Linked DNA regions of Sus scrofa. The protein of the gene in region 2 interacts with the protein of the main gene of each other region in a pairwise test. Links are inferred from orthologs where the notes say so. Each region holds a gene or a part of one and is shown on either strand. Other genes may lie near its edges. The genes, in order: WWP2, ATN1, WWP1 and LENG8.

Region 1 (4,126 bases), on a different chromosome or scaffold from region 2:
AGCAGGGTACTGAGTGGAAGAGTAGTTGGAGATGAGGTGAGAGAAATAAAGAAGTTTGAATAGGTTTATAGATGGGATTCATATAGGAATTACGGTATTCAGAAAGGCTGTAGCTCCTTGAAAGGCCATCTCCTGGATGGATCTGGAGTGGAAATAGGAAAAGCAGAGACTAAGTGCTCAACCAATTTAATTTGTATGCATAATAGGATCACTCTGAACGGGAAGACCCAAAAATAACAGAATAATCAGTGCACAGTGCTTAAAGCTAATTAAGTGATTAGTCTTCATTTTAGTTTGTGGTGATGAAGAGTGAAAAATTGAGCCTTCCTTCAACTTGTCAAAACTGAATTCCCTACCATCAGTAAAGTATATTGATTAATTTTTTTTTCTAATTCATAAAGTGCTATTGACTCTTTATATTAAGGAAATAGGGGTTCGATTGGTGTGGTGGGCATTTTACCAACCCCAGCAAGGGTTCTGGAGTCTTTTTACTTTTGCTTTATGTCACAAGAACAGATGCTCCGGAGTTCCCATCGTGGCTCAGTGGTTAATGAATCCGACTAGGAACCAGGAGGTTGTGGGTTCGATCCCTGGCCTTGCTCAGTCGGCTGAGGATCTGGCATTGAGGATCTGGCGTTGCCCTGAGCTGTGGTGTAGGTTGCAGACGCGGCTCGGATCCCGCGTTGCTGTGGCTCTGGCGTAGGCCGGCGGCTACAGCTCCGATTAGACCCCTAGCCTGGGAACCTCCATATGCCGTGGAAGCGGGCCAAGAAATGGCAAAAAGACAAAACAAAACAAAACAGATGCTCCACAAAAGTTACTTTTGTGTGTTTCTAGAATCTAGAACCCTGCCTGGCACATAGTAGGCTTAAGGTTGTCAGGTATAGCAAATTAAAACCCAATTTGCCCAATTAAATATGAGCATCAACCACAAATAGTTTTTTAGTATAAACATGTACCAGGCAGTATTTGGGGCACACCTACATATTACATATTTTTTATCTTAAGTTCATATTTAACTGGGTGCCCTGTATTTTATCTGGTGACCCTAGGATATTTTAAGTCAGTAAATTAACCGCTGACTTAATTGACTGAAAGCCTCCTTTCACCTGTGAAATGGGGCTGACAGAGACGCCCCTGGGCTCGATGGGAGGAGTAAATGAAGCTCCTGGCACTCACCGAGCCCTCAATTTACTTGATTGCTCGGGTACCATCTGACGAGGGGAAAACCCTCCCATTTTTAAACATACAAAGGATAAGAAGGCTTTCTGGCTAAAGGTTCCCAGGCCTGGCCTAGGTTGCCCACACCTGCAGGTACGGCCAGCCTCTTCCGGGTCAGGTGACCACGCGTGGTCACGTGACCTGGCCCGAGTGCGGGCGGTCGAAGGCGGAAGTGGGAGAGGAGTTGGGCTCCGCTTCTGTGGTCCCGTCAGGTAGCGAGCGCCGGCGCGGGGCAGCGCGGCGGGCAGGCTGGCGGGGGCGCGGGGCTGGCCTGGGGCAGCGGGCAGCGGGCAGCGCGGGGTGGGCCAGGGGCGGCGCGGCCCGGGCGCCGGGGGGCGGTGGCTTCCTGTGGGAGGGGCCTGGCGCGGCGGTTCCGGCCTCCGAGGAGGGGTGTCCCGGCTCCCGCCCGAGCGGGGTGGGCGCGCTGCGGGCGGTGCGGGGGCAACTCCGAGGTGGGCGCCAAGGCACGCATAAGTGCGGTGGCCAGCAAGTCCTCCTGGAAGGGACAAGCATCTTAGGTGCCAGGGATGAAGAGGAGTGACCTTTGTGGCGGGATCGGGACAGGAGGAAGGGGCAACTTGGGACTGAGCTAGAATGGGTCGCCTGAGAATTGGCGAACGACGTGGAAGGAAAAATCAGGAGGAAGATGCTGCCTGAACCGCGCTTGAGCGCCTCTTCCTTCCTTCCTCTTTGGCAATGATTGGTACCCGAGACTTTGATTTTGGTCCCATTCAGTTTCTAAACTTCAGGAGGGATCAGAGAATCTTGATCATTTTGCTTTCGTCACGCCCACTTAGTCCTGCTTGGGTAGGGTTTCTACTTCTTGAGAACCTAGCCTTTCAGATCATGTTTCTTTGAAATTTCCACAGATCAGATCAACTTCTGGGCTTAAGAAAAGAGCGTGGGCACTTTGCTCTGGCTGTAAAATGGCTTTTAGCTTAAACTGTTGAGCACGGTCCAATCCCAGCATTACCTCACCTAACAGCGACTGCAGTAACCTTGGCCGGTATCTACCTACCCTGCTTTATGACTTTTTCTTTCTTGAGTTTAAATTATTCAGTTTCCTTTGCCATGTGACTGCTTATCTTGACAAACTGTAACTAGCTAGCATGACTGGAAGGTCTGTGTTGTGTTCCATAGAACTGTGACCTGGATCATGATTTTGAGATTAAATACCTGTGTTAAGGCTGTTCACCCGCTTTTTCTTGTGTTTACTAACATTTGCAAAAGTGGAATGCATTTCATGGATGTGATGTAATAGAAGTGAATGTTCAAACTGGACAGTCCCAGGAGCTGGAGTTGTTTTGGGTTACAAGTAGGAAAAAAAAAAAAAGTACCTTGCTAATGTGTTTTGAGTTCAAGTTTTTAGAATGTTTGACAAACATTTAAAAATTGATTTCTGTGACAGCCCTGGGAGTTAGATTAGGAAGATGTTTATTCTCATTTCACAGTGAACAAACAGATCTCAGAAGACTGGATTTTGTTGACAATTTTTTTGTGTTTTCTTGTCTGCTGTTCTCTTTCTTTCTGATAGACTGCAAATTCCTCAAAGGGCGGGGTTTATATCTTATTTGGCTTATTTGGCAACTAGCCTGGAGCCAGGTGTGCTATGGGCACTTGGTAAGTTTTTGGTGAATAAATGAATTTCTAAAGGTCACAGACCTGTAAGTGGAGAAGAGATTTGAATCTGAGTCCTGCCTCTTCTTCTTGGTAAATGAGCTTGCCATTTTGTTGTTTGGTCTATAAGAAAATGATAGGTGTGGGGTTGGGTTGGCTTGGGTTGGCTTCTCAATCTCTTATTTAGTGACTACTTTCCCATAGTAAAAAAAGCTTATGGGAGTTCCCTGGTGGCTCAGCAGATTAAGGATCTGGCATTGTTACTGCTATGGCTGGAGTCACTGCTGTGACATGGGTTTGATCCCTGGCCCTCAAACTTCCACATCCACCTCCCCCCCCAAAAAAAGAAAAAAAGAGCTTATTCAGTCTTCATTATGATCCTCTGAAGGTTGAAATTGTCCCTATTCTGCAGTTGAAGAAACTGAGGCTTAGTGAAGTCCTTGTTTGAGAATCTAGAAGTCGTGAATGACTGAGCAGGGACTCATGCCCAGGCCTTTTATCCTTGGACCTATTCTTTTCCATTTTTAGATTCAATGTAAAGTTTCAAAAAAATGTTTTTTTCAAGTGTGCAAAGGATGACATTTTAAGGGGAAAATAGTATAGGTTATAGCAATAATTGTGAATATGGAGTGTAACTAAAGTTTAGAAAATCCTATGCTATACCATAGCTGCCTCTTTATTTTTTCATTTGGTGGCTATTTATAAGCACGAACTCTTTGCCAGGCATTGTTCTAGGGTTTTCATTGTTCAGATCCGTAGTCACTAGACACATGGGGCTGCCGAGTACAGGAGATAGGCTATGACTATACAATACATGCCAGATTTTGGAAGACTTAGTACAGAAAGATAAAGGTAAAATTTCTCATTAATTTTTAAAAAGATTATACTAAATGACCTTATAAATGTAATGTACTTATATGCTATAAATGGTAGCATTAAAGTTTATTGTCCTAAGTACAATAGAATTGAAATTTCCTTTGTTTAGTTTTTATTTTTATTTATTTATTTATTTTTTTGTCTTTTTGCCATTTCTCGGGCCGCTCTCGCGGCATATGGAGGTTCCCAGGCTAGGGGTCCAATCGGAGCTGTAGCCACCGGCCTACACCAGAGCCACAGCAACGCAGGATCCGAGCCGCGTCTGCAGCCTACACCACAGCTCACGGCAACGCCGGATCATTAACCCACTGAGCAAGGGCAGGGACCGGATCATTAACCCACTGAGCAAGGGCATGGTTCCTAGTCGGATTCGTTAACCACTGTGCCACGACAGGAACTCCCCCCCCCCTTT
Region 2 (4,296 bases):
CTTAATAACAATTTACTTAAGAGTCACAAAAGAGCTGGGACAGAGCCTCAGGTCTTCTGAACTTAGAGCCCCGTAAACAGGTCATTTCTCTTCCACTACAACTATTTACCACAGTATTGAGCTGTTCGGTACATTGGTTTTCAAATATCGTCAACCCTCCAAAACCCTAAAGAACAAAACCCAACATAACCAAAGGGGAAAATAATCCCAACAAAAGTACAACAGAAAAAACTGTGCCTCATGTGTCTCTGCCAGCTCGTCTAAAGGCAGGTGCTCATCCCTCCTTCCTATCCCAGAACTTGTTCACTGTCGGTGAGAGTTATGGGATCCAAAAGGCCAGAGGAAAGCAGCAAAATGTTCTTGAAGAACAGAGAAAGCCTGGTGTGCCCCCGCCCCCACCCTAACTTTTTTAATCAGCTGGAATCTGATAAAATTAGCAATGAGGAGCTCTGAAGGAGAAAAGCACTCATAAAAGGTAGGTGACCCTGGGGATAAGGAGTGGCAGGAGCGAGAAAGAGGTAGGGTTGGGTTGCACGGACCTTCCTGAACCTGGAGCATATTTCAGCACCAACAAGCTGCGCTAAGAGTAGCTCAGATTCCTTCTCTGATTTATAAAGCACCTACTATGTATCTGCAAAACACTAAGCCTAGGCACCAAAGATAGGGAAATAGTCTCAAAGTAAGAACAGGAAAAGAAATTAAGGGAGCAATATGAGGAAGATATCAGAAAGACTGCATTATATCCAAGGCACAAGGATTTCCAGGATGGGCTTGCAGGGTAAATTTCAAGACCACTGGCCCAGCCCCCACCATCATTCCAAACCTGCCAGACTAACAAACCAGTCCAAAGTAACTCCTAGATAACAATGTAGCCCAGGCCAGCAGATAACAAGGCATTGGCCTAAGCCTTAGAATCTACAGTTGTCAGCGGGGCCTCAGATATCATCTTATCTACAACCCCTTCATCGGACAATGAAGCCAAGGCTCAAAGGGAAGTGACTTGCCCAAGGTCACAGTTAGTAGGTACAGCCAGGACTAGACCCAGGTCTCCAGGCTCCTGTTCTGGAATATTTCCACTGCACCAGGCTGTTTTACAGCCCTCTCCCCTGGGGGACCCTCACCTGGGAGGCGCGTGGAGAGCCCAGCCATCCCTACAAGTTCAGAGAAACGGAAGGTTGGAGGTCAGATGAGCGAAGGCGTTACTGTGGGGAAGAGTCTGGGACAGAGGAAAAGGGATACTTGGGCAGGAAGACTCAAGGTGAAGAAAATGGAAGAATATCTGTGCAAAGAAGCAACAAGACCATCCAAAAACTTCCTAATAACAAGGGAGATAGAGGCCAGCAAGAACTGCCAAAAGATGGTATAACTTGGAACAGGAGCATTCCCATCCTCCCACCATGCCTAAGGGGAGGGACCTGGAGAAACAACTACCACCTGCAAGTAACATGTCTACCTGTTCCAAAGACTGCTGGGTGGACACGGTGGACCCTTGGGGAAACTCCTCTCCACCAGCAGCACCCGAAACATCCTTCAGAATCCAGCCGAGCGTCCCAAGGACATAGCCAGAGGCTGAAAGGCCCAGTGGAGATGCAGAACCCCCATCTATTGGACATCCCACTGGGTCACTGCCATGGCAACGAAGAGGCAGAACTTGCCCCTCAAGAGTCTGTCCCAGGGGTCCATCTACCAGTCACTCCCCCTCCAGTTGCCAAAGCAACTCCTGTCCTCCTACAGCACCCTCAGGGAAGGGAGCTTAAGAGTACCTACCCCGGCAGAAAAAAAGTCTACGCACAAAGGGAAATCTCGGAGCACAAAACACTAATGAAGATCCACCCACCGCTTAAGGAAACCACAGCTAGAGGCGCAGGGGTGTTCTGGGGGTTTGAGGGTGGGGGTCACGACTTGTTTGGTGTGCCTGTAAGATTGCCCAAATGCTCCCCTCTTTTTCCACCCTCCCGGAAACCCTTCCTCCCTAAACTCTCCCTTCAGTGTTCGCATCTTCCTCATCAGTTGCGGGAGGACCCACACTACCAGGCCCTAGCGTGCCCCTCTCCAAGAAGCACCTATGTCTGGGATTGCAAAAACAAGGTCAGAGGTGACCTGGAGTAGAGGAAAGAAAATTGAGTCACAAAGGCATCGCCTTCCCACTTCCACTCGGGAGCACCTCCCCTTCTTTTCAAGGGTGGCCCTCTCCTCGGCCATCTCTGAGCCCCCCTCAGTTCCATTCTCCTCCCTCATCAGCTACAATCCCTCTCTTTCCACCTACCACACCCCTTCCCCATTTCCCACCTCCCTTCTATACCTAGCACCCCGAACCCCAGGATCTGAAACCGGGTTCTGGGCCTTTGAGGCTTTTCCTGGAGTCCTCCTGCCCCACCTCGTTGCCATCTCTCCATTCCTTTTTGCCTTCGCCCCGAGGCCCCCCTGACGGGCATCCCGGTTTTCCTGCGCCAACCCTCCACCTCGGGGGTTCCTCTTTAGGTCCCGGGATTCTGGCCACACTCCCGCCCCACCAGCCCTCCTCCTGTGACTCTCCCACCTCCCCCCACCTTCCTGATCCTCCGGGCGTCCAGGCCCCCATCCCTCCTCCGGGGCCGGCCCCACCCCCTGAGCCCCCAGTCTCAGGCCAGCCAGGGCCCGCAGTAGGGGACCAGATCGGGGAAAAATAACAAATGGAGGCGGCGGCGGCGGCGGCGGCAGGAGGGGGAACTGGGAGGGGTGGGGGTGGGGAGCCGCGGGCCAGAACCCGGGCGAGCGCAAGGCCCGGGCGGCAGCAGATCTTACCTGTTTGTAGCTCGGGACGGCTGGCTGGCTCCGAACGGGATTTGGGGCTCCGGCGCCTCTGGGGGCGGCGGCGGCCGCTCCCCCGCCCCCCTCTCTTTCCGGCTTCAGTCGCCGCCGCGACGGCGGCGGCGGCGGCCCCGACCCCCCCGGAGGGCGGCCCCCATCTTCCCTCTTCCCCCACCTGGCCCCGATCGCCCGCCGGCCCCCGAAGCAAATCCCAGTCCCCGCTCTAGTTCTGCCCCTCCCCAGGCCCGCCGCCTACCCCGGCTGCCCAGAACGTCCGGGCCGCGCCGCCCGTCCGCCCCCGCGGCCAGGCCGGCCCTCCGCGCGGCTCCGACCCGCTGCCTCCCGCCAGCCGCCCGCGCCCGCCCCGCGCAGCCCGCACTTGCGCGATCCCCGGCCCCCTAGGCGGCCTCCGCCCGCGGCCCCCGCCCCTTCCCGGGCGGTCTTCTCCCTCGCCCCCTCCTGGCTCCTCCCTGAGGCCGGCGGTCCCCCTGAAACGGGTCCCGGCCCGAGGCCCCGGCCCGACGCGGGGCTGCGGGCGGGCGGGCTGGGCGGCGCGTCCGGCGACTCGCACAGGAAAGCGGACGGCGAAGGGAGGGAGCCTGGGAGAGGGGGATGGGAGAAGGGAGGAAGAGGGAGAAGGAGGGAGCGCGGAGGAACGGAGGAGAGAGGGGCAGGGAGGGAGCCGCGAGGGAGGGAGCGCGAGGCGAGCGGCGAGGAGGGGCGGAGAGGGGGATCGGAAAGGGGGAGGCGCCGCGCGAGTTGGCCAAGACCGAGGCCGAGGGGGCCGGGGCGCGGGGAGGGGTTCGCCGTGGCGGAATGCGGGGAGCCCGCGGGCCTGGCGCGGGAGCGGGCTGGGTAGGAGGAGCCGTGGGTTGTAGGGGCAGAGATGGGGGAGGCTGGAGAAGTTTGGGGGCCCAGGGCTGTGTGGCAGAGGCAAGGGGGGAGGTTGTGGGTATGTAGCAGAGATGGGGTAATGGGGTTAGGTTGGGGCGAGACAGAGCTTCCTGGGGACAATGAGATGTGTGACAGGGGAGGTGAAAGAAGCTTGGGGTGATAGTGTCTGGCAGACACCTAGCGTAGCAGGAAAGGTTTGGGAGGCAATCGTGCAAAGGGGCTGGAAGTTTGGGGGTCATAAGGAGGGGAAGATATTGAAAAGATGGAGACATATACAGGAGAACGGGATTTCTGGAGGAGAGTGAAGAGTTTGGGGGTGACTGGTGTTGACAAAGGGATGGGGAAGGTAAGAAGTTGGGGGAATGACAAACCTAGTGATGTCATGGGGAAAGAGAAAGCAAAGCTAGAAGAACCTTAAGAAAGGATGAAGGAGGTGGGGCCAGGTGCATATTCGAGGAGGACTGGGTTCTGGGTGGGAAGAGAAAGTGGGGGACAGGGACGGCTGGGTTCTGGGGGTGGGGGGTTCCAAAAGAGTGGAGAAGGGTGTCTGTGGGCAAGACAGGGTGGACAGAATGGGGCCAAAGTGGAGGGGGGTGTAAAGAAGATTAGGAG
Region 3 (3,361 bases), on a different chromosome or scaffold from region 2:
GAAGTCGTAGCATTTGGACTGATAATTAGTAAAATTTTTATAGGCAGAAAAGGATATTCTAGAACACAGGAGAGCCATAAGAGCATGGTCATAGAACAGATAAGTATGTTTAGAACTTTAAATAAGCTGATGGGGGTGCTATTCCAAACAGCATAGGCTTTTTTAAACTGGCGTGTTTTCTTAAAGTACCCCAGGCCGTGATAAAAGGCTAGATAGGTTGTGAAGAATTTTTTTTTTTAAATGGATGAAGGATCAGCACACAGGAAATTCTGATAAGAGATGATGGGAAAATACATACAGAGGAGATACTGGTAGCAGTAGTAATGATCAGGAGGGAAAAGATAGCAGAGATTTAGTAGATAGAATGACAGACTGACAAAGGCAGTGACTGTCGGTATGGGGACTAAGATGTTCTGAAAAGAACATCATTTTAATTGGCTGCCTTGGTTCAAAAGGCTCTTTCTTGATTCTTACATAGGAGTAGAGGGCAAGGGCAAGTAGGAACTGGTAAGAGTGGTAGAAGGGAACTGAATGATCTATAGACACCTTCCACATGAGAAAATAAAAGTACTAAAAGGTTTTCACTTCTCGGAGCTGTTCTCATTAGGCAGAAGTGGGGACAGGACTAACCGCTGTGGTGCAGTGGGTTAAGAATCCGACTGCAGTGGCTCAGGTCATGGTGGAGGCGCAGGTGTGATCCCTGGCCCGACACAGTGGGTTAAAGGATCTGGAGATCCTGCACCTGAGGCTTGGATTCAATCCTTAGCCTAGGAACTTCCATATACTGCCGGTATGGCCATATTGTGGGGACCAAAACCCTGGACTCTAGAATCTCATCCAGCTACTCAGTGCTAAATCTTTAAAAAGTGTTATTCCACACCTTAGTAAATTGTAAAACAATACATTGACATCTTAAGCATTTTTAATATTTTCTGTATTTCATCAGTTAATCCCAACAGGGAACTCTTTGAGTCTGGCAAGACTGTAAGCATATTGTTTTAGAAGTGATTATACATATGATGGGATTATTGGAAAGGAAAATGTATGTATTTGGTTATTGACGGTCTCCATCCTAGAAAGTAAGTTTGATGAGGACAATGACTAGTTTTTCATCACTGTATCATTAGCTCCTGGAAAAATAACTGGTACATAAAAAATTTTCAATAAATAACTGATGAATGAGTTAGTGGGTGAGTGAGTGAAAGACAGACTCTTTAACCCAAGAAAAGTTAGGGAGACTTATGATACAGTGTAACAATAATAGTATTAAAAAGAAGAATTAGTTATTTAAAAATTCCAGTGTTTTTATACGTATTGCTATAATTATTTGTAATTCTAGTTTTCTCTGGGAAACATTAAAATTTTATGGCTAGGTCTTAAATTTGAATAGACTGCTATAAGAAAGTCTGTACATTTAATATTACAATCATTAAGTAAATTGTTAGAATACTTCTAGCAAGATTTTGACATTCTTCCTCTATCCATTTAGTTTTTCAAATGTGCTTTAAAAAATATTGTGTTAGAAATCTTTTCAGTTTGTTTTATTGAAAACGTCTGATTTTGTTTTTGTTTTTGTTCAGTTTTAATCGCTTGGATCTACCACCATATAAGAGTTATGAACAACTAAAGGAAAAACTTCTTTTTGCAATAGAAGAGACAGAGGGATTTGGACAAGAATGAATATGGCTTCTTGTCTTGGAGGAGCTCTTGCATTTAAATACCCCAGCCAAGAAAAATTGCACAGATAGTGTATATAAGCTGTTCATTATGTACAGTGAATTTTCTGAACCTCTCAAAGTATAAATGTTTTCCGTTCTTCCACAGAAATATGCAAAACAGCTCATCCTTTTCTACTTTATTTATTGTTCCCTTGAAGTGACTGACCAGGAAAAAGATCATCCTTAAATTTTCAAGCAAACAAGAGACTTTATTAAAAATAATAAGTATATATCTATATAAGCATTTATGATAGTGGCTCTAGTTTTATAGAGCTCTGAGTGTATTAACATGACAGCCATTCATTCAAAAATAATCTGGATTTGTTTTACCTTGTTTCTGTTATCCAGGGAAAGTACAAATTGCTCCATGTTTTTTCTCCCTTTTGTAACATCTCCTGAAGGTGTTTAGTTGCATGGCTGTTCAGGAAGGTATTAAGGGCTTAGGCCAAATCTTACTTTGAATATGTTAAAAATGCTGCTGGCTTTTTGAAAGACAGGTGCTTGAACCTGTCAATTTGTTTTAAATAAATATAATAGTTGAAAAATTTCCCTCTTTGCTACATCACTAATACTGTTAAATTCATGAATGAAACCATAACTTAAATGAAAGTCGTGTACTAACTAGATCCATTACATTTAGTTTATTCTAGAAATTAGAATTCATTGAGCAGCATAGAGGTTTGTTTACATGTTACTTTGGGATGCTAGGTATTTGTGGGATTAAAGAGAATCAGGCACTTCTGTACTTTAGTTTTAAAATTTGTAATGTTCTTTAAATTCATAATAAATTGATGCAATTTGATACTTAGGAACATATGAAAAGGTAATGTGAACTTTTCTGCTTTTGTGTTCAAAGTTTTGGTTTTATAAAGCCAGATGGATTGAAGACTTAAATAAGCATTCAAACACTCAAATAAGTCTAATGATTCTCTGTTACTGTTTGAATATCTTCATTCCTCTTAAAATCACAAAAATTCTGTGTATCTGAATAAGTATAAAAAAATATTTTGCCCCCGCCCTTTTTACATAGATTATTTTGTCCTAAATAAATAACACTTTGTTTTTCACTATCAAGGGCATTTGCTGAACTGCAAAGATGTATAACAAATTAAAATCTGATGTGAATGATATTAATGCTACTTTAACAAGCTGGGCTTCCTTAATATAAAAATTTAAATTTACATTTGTATCATGATTTCAGTATGCACTGTAAATTTCAATAACTTAGAAATTGTTTTATAACCATGAGAGTGACGTCTTAGAATGTTATCTGTAACATTTCACTAAGTACATACAGAAAATACTAGTATACAGTTTAATTTCCCTAAAAAATAGTTTTTATTTCGCCAAAGTTTTATTTTTCTACATATTATTTTAGATTGTGTTTTGCATTTTTATTCAAAACGCATAGTAAAAATGAAATAAAGTCAGTGATCCACTTGGGTTGAATAACTCCTTTCCCAAATTCTGATTACTGACATTCTAATTATTTTCAAGCCTAAAGAATTGAAAACAAAACAAACTAATGTATAGGGCAGACTATGCAATAGAGGTGACCAGTCTTCAAAAGGGCTACTTATTATACCATGAAAGAACCACTGCTGGATGAATTTTGCCATGACAGAAGTTACCATCATTCAGTA
Region 4 (3,562 bases), on a different chromosome or scaffold from region 2:
GCAAAAAATAAAAATGTAGAAAACATCTCTGTACAGACTCCCCGGTGGGAAAACGGGGGCAGGGGTGGTGGCTCGTCCTGGAGCCCAATCCCCACAAATTAATTTACAACCCAAGTCCATGGCTCAAAAACAAAATGTGCCAAGGCGGTGCTGGGGGGCTGCAGCCCTGCCCCCCGCCCCCGTCGGCGCTGGTGCTCAGAAGGCTGACAGCTGCGCCAGGCTGAGGCGGCAGTCGATGCTGGAGTTGTCCGGGCCCGTGTAGGCCAGGCCTAGGGGCTCTAGGAAGGCCCGGCAGGCGGCCTCGCCCTCGAAGGCCAGCTCGGCCTGCAGGTAGGAGACTGGCAGCGCAGGGCGGAAGCTACGGAGACAAGAGGAGAATGCGATGAGGCGGGCGGCGGACTGGGGAGCGCCCCACGAGCAGGGAGTGGGTGCCCCCCCATTCAGGTACCCAAAAGGTTTCCTCAGCACGTTACCTGCTGACCCCACCACCAGCCCACAGCCTCCCCACCTCGGGCTCGGGGGGGCCCGGGGTGGGGTTGGGAGCCCCAGCCCCGGCTGCGCCCCCCCTCGCCCTCACTTACCTGTGCAGGGGTGGGGGGACCGGGAGGAGGGACTAGGAGGGAAGGGCCCCGCCAGCTCTTCTGCTGGCTGGGGCCTGGGCAGACCCTCAGAAGAAGGCCCACTGTGACCGAGGGGCAGGGGACAGGCACGGGGCGGCAGGGCTGACGGCTACCCTGGGGGACCTGGCTGGTCGGAGGCCCAGCCGGCGCCGGGAATGAGCTCTTCCAGGTGCCGCAGCATGAACTCCCTCCCCACCTCCCTAAGCTGTGCGGTCCTACCTTTACAGACCCGAGAACAAAGCCACTTGGCCAGTGTCGCCTGGGCAGTAACTGGCAGAAAGTATTTGAACCAGTCTTGCCTCAAGCCTAAAAACACTGTTGCCACCCTGGATGTCCCTCCCGGGGGGGCATAGGAGAGGCTGCAGCCCACCCTGCACCCCCAACTCCGAAGCTGGCCCAGGCCCAACCGGCTCTGCCCAGGAGAAGTGGCACCACCTTCAGTGGCGGGAGGAAGAAGAACACAAGGCCAAGGGCGTGAAAAACAAGGAGAAATGGTAACCTGTCCGCTATGGCCCCGGGAGCAGCACTCGGGGCAGCCAGGGTCCCCTCCTGGGTCCTCGGCTGGAAAGCAGGTCCCATACACCCTACCCCCTGTTTGTGCCCCACTCCTTCCCCTCCACTGCCTGGGCCCCACTCTCCCTTCAACATTCAAGGCCCCTGGGGGAGGCCAGGCGCACCCGGGCTGTGACGCGGGACGCTGTGTGCTGCCATCACCTTACCCCGGGGCGCCTCCCTCCCACCATAACAGTGAGCCCACCCCTTGTGGTGAACGGAGGGCACCCTGCTGAGTGCTGTCCGGGCCTAGCTTGCCCCACGTCACGCCTGCTCTCGGAGGAGCTCAAGGGGACCGGGTCCTTGACCCTCTGACCACAGCTGCCGAGGGTAGGGCCAGCTCTGCTGGTTGTCCCCAGAGAGCAGGGCCCAGTGACCGGAGAGGAAAGCGGGAGGGGAGGCCGGAGCAAGGAGACAACTGGGGTCCAGGTGATGCGAGCAGGGGGACCCACGAGCCCTGAGCGAGAGAGTGACGGAGGGAGGGACACAGAGGAGGGCGGTGTGCAGAAGAGCAGGAGGCCTGGCGAGAACGGCAGAGTGTGGGAAGGTGACCCGGGGAGCGAGACCGGGGAGGGGAGCTGGAGGCCTGGTGACCCCTGAGGGCAGAGCAGGGGAGAGAGGGAGGGGGAACGAGGGCGGCGGCTGCCGCAGAGCAGAGGGACAGCAGGGAAGCTCGGCTTCACATACGTTTTGATCATAGCCTTGAGGGCAGCCTTGCGCTCCCGGTCTGCAAACTTGTCCACGAGGTAGCCAGACATACAGGGCGCGTGGGAGTAGAGCCGGAAGAAGCGGTGGTAGTTGCCCAGAGCCCAGGCGGCCCGGAGTGCCAAGGCGTGGGCCACACAAGGGTCCGCTTTCAGTTCCCGCGTCAGGTAGGCCAGCTCCGTGGTGATGTCTGCGGCCACAACAAGGCGGGGGTCAGCCGGGCCGGACTCGGGGGGCCTGTGGCCGCCTGACCTGCCGGACTGTGCCTCTCACCTCCTGAGTTCTTGGTGAAGATGTAGTAGAGGATGCGGTAGGCAGTGAACTCGCCCACGTTGCCCGGCAAGTTCTCGGCGTACAGGGACTTGAGCTGCGTCTGGCACTGGTTGAACTCTTCGTGGTCTCCCTGTGGGCGGGCGAGGGGGGGAGCAGTGGGGTGAGGGGGAACGGGGCGAGGGGGGAAGCAGCGTGGTGGTGGGGTGGGGGGCGAGGGGGGAGCAGAGCAGCACGAGGCCAGCAGGGCGGGGGAGCCGGGCCGCGCCAGCCCACTCACCTTCTCCAAGGCGATGCGGGCATGTGTCTCGTACACCTCCACCGTGAACTCAGTTCGCACACCTTGCACCTGAGGGCAGGCCAGCGGCCGTCACAACCGAGCGGGGGGCGGGGGGGGGACGGGGGGGAATCCACCGAGCGGCCTCCGGCCCCTCCCGGCACCCGCCTCACCGTCAGGTCCTGCCGGATGGACTTCATCTGCTCACAGGCAAAGGCGTAGTCCTGCTTCTCCTTCCAGTGGGACTTGACCATGCACAGCGACTTCTTCAAAACCTGGAAGCAGGTGAACACAGGCTCTGTGTGACTTTGCCACAAGGACAAGGACCTGCTCCAGTTCCTTCCATGCACTCGTTCTAAGAGGAGGGCTGCGACATCAAACCTGATGCTCACAAGAACCCAGAACAGACGCATCAACAGCCCCAGGCCTTGGTCTCCACGTCAACACGTGGCCGTGTGTGGGCCTGGGGACGCCGGGCGTGCATGTTCCAGGGTCTCACAGGCCCTGGCCTGGGAAAGTGACATCGCCCTCCCCACCTTGTTCGCAGGAGGAAGGCTCAGAGGCCAGCCAAGCCTCCCGAGAGGGCCACATGCCCTCGCCGTGGCTCCAAAGCCTGAGTCCTGGGGTCCAGTTCCCCTCGAGTCCCTGTCAGCCACAGCCCCCCACACCCCGCACAGAGCTTGGGGTCTCCCCCAGGCCGGCCTGCCTGCACCTCCTCCGCCTCTGCTGACCTCGCTGGGCCCCAGCCTGCCTGCCAGGGGGCACTTACGGACACGGGGCGCACAGTGGACGGGTCTGGGGCGCAGGTGAGACGCAGGTAGTGCTTGGTGATGTCAGGGCAGGTGCCCACGATCTGCAGCTCCTGCCAGTCGGGGTCGGCCCCGCTGTTCTCCAGGCTGCCCATCTGCAGCACCAGGGGCTCCAGGCGCAGGCGGCGGGAATGGCCGTGCTGGAAGCGCGCCGCCCGCTTCTGCTTCTTCAGCTCGCGCTCAGGGTCCTCGCACTCCAGGGCCGCCATCTTCTTGCGGCTGCGCTTGGTGGGCGCTAGATCATGCCTGGGGAGGGACGAGGGGTCCTGGGCTGGGGGAGGTGGCACAGCGCCCGCCAGCCTCAGCCCCCGGCCGCGCCAGTGCTCCCA

What was found.
Region 1: the proteins of ATN1 (region 2) and WWP2 interact in a two-hybrid assay, tested with the Homo sapiens proteins (2 studies listed by BioGRID and IntAct). The link is inferred for Sus scrofa from reciprocal best matches to the Homo sapiens genes ATN1 and WWP2.
Region 3: the proteins of ATN1 (region 2) and WWP1 interact in a two-hybrid assay, tested with the Homo sapiens proteins (2 studies listed by BioGRID and IntAct). The link is inferred for Sus scrofa from reciprocal best matches to the Homo sapiens genes ATN1 and WWP1.
Region 4: the proteins of ATN1 (region 2) and LENG8 interact in a two-hybrid assay, tested with the Homo sapiens proteins (2 studies listed by BioGRID and IntAct). The link is inferred for Sus scrofa from reciprocal best matches to the Homo sapiens genes ATN1 and LENG8.

The regions. Positions count from the first base shown.
Region 1 is NC_010448.4:17,225,146-17,229,271, reverse strand, and holds the start of WWP2 (NEDD4-like E3 ubiquitin-protein ligase WWP2), read left to right. Parts: upstream 1-1,289; 5' UTR 1,290-1,433; intron 1,434-1,580; exon of another isoform or gene 1,581-1,924; intron 1,925-4,126. UniProt on the Homo sapiens protein: E3 ubiquitin-protein ligase which accepts ubiquitin from an E2 ubiquitin-conjugating enzyme in the form of a thioester and then directly transfers the ubiquitin to targeted substrates.
Region 2 is NC_010447.5:63,792,592-63,796,887, forward strand, and holds the start of ATN1 (atrophin-1), read right to left. Parts: upstream 2,795-4,296; 5' UTR 2,785-2,794; intron 2,643-2,784; coding exon of another isoform or gene 2,482-2,642; intron 1,441-2,481; coding exon of another isoform or gene 1,398-1,440; intron 1-1,397. Other genes in the region: uncharacterized protein LOC110260590, read left to right, coding at 1,398-1,440, 2,482-2,642, 2,795-3,649. UniProt on the Homo sapiens protein: Transcriptional corepressor. Recruits NR2E1 to repress transcription. Promotes vascular smooth cell (VSMC) migration and orientation. Corepressor of MTG8 transcriptional repression.
Region 3 is NC_010446.5:50,387,638-50,390,998, reverse strand, and holds the end of WWP1 (NEDD4-like E3 ubiquitin-protein ligase WWP1), read left to right. Parts: intron 1-1,580; coding exon 1,581-1,680; 3' UTR 1,681-2,852; downstream 2,853-3,361. UniProt on the Homo sapiens protein: E3 ubiquitin-protein ligase which accepts ubiquitin from an E2 ubiquitin-conjugating enzyme in the form of a thioester and then directly transfers the ubiquitin to targeted substrates.
Region 4 is NC_010448.4:58,861,103-58,864,664, forward strand, and holds part of LENG8 (leukocyte receptor cluster member 8), read right to left. Parts: intron 3,480-3,562; coding exon 3,194-3,479; intron 2,700-3,193; coding exon 2,598-2,699; intron 2,497-2,597; coding exon 2,428-2,496; intron 2,281-2,427; coding exon 2,151-2,280; intron 2,068-2,150; coding exon 1,331-2,067; 3' UTR 359-1,330; coding exon of another isoform or gene 196-358; 3' UTR 1-195.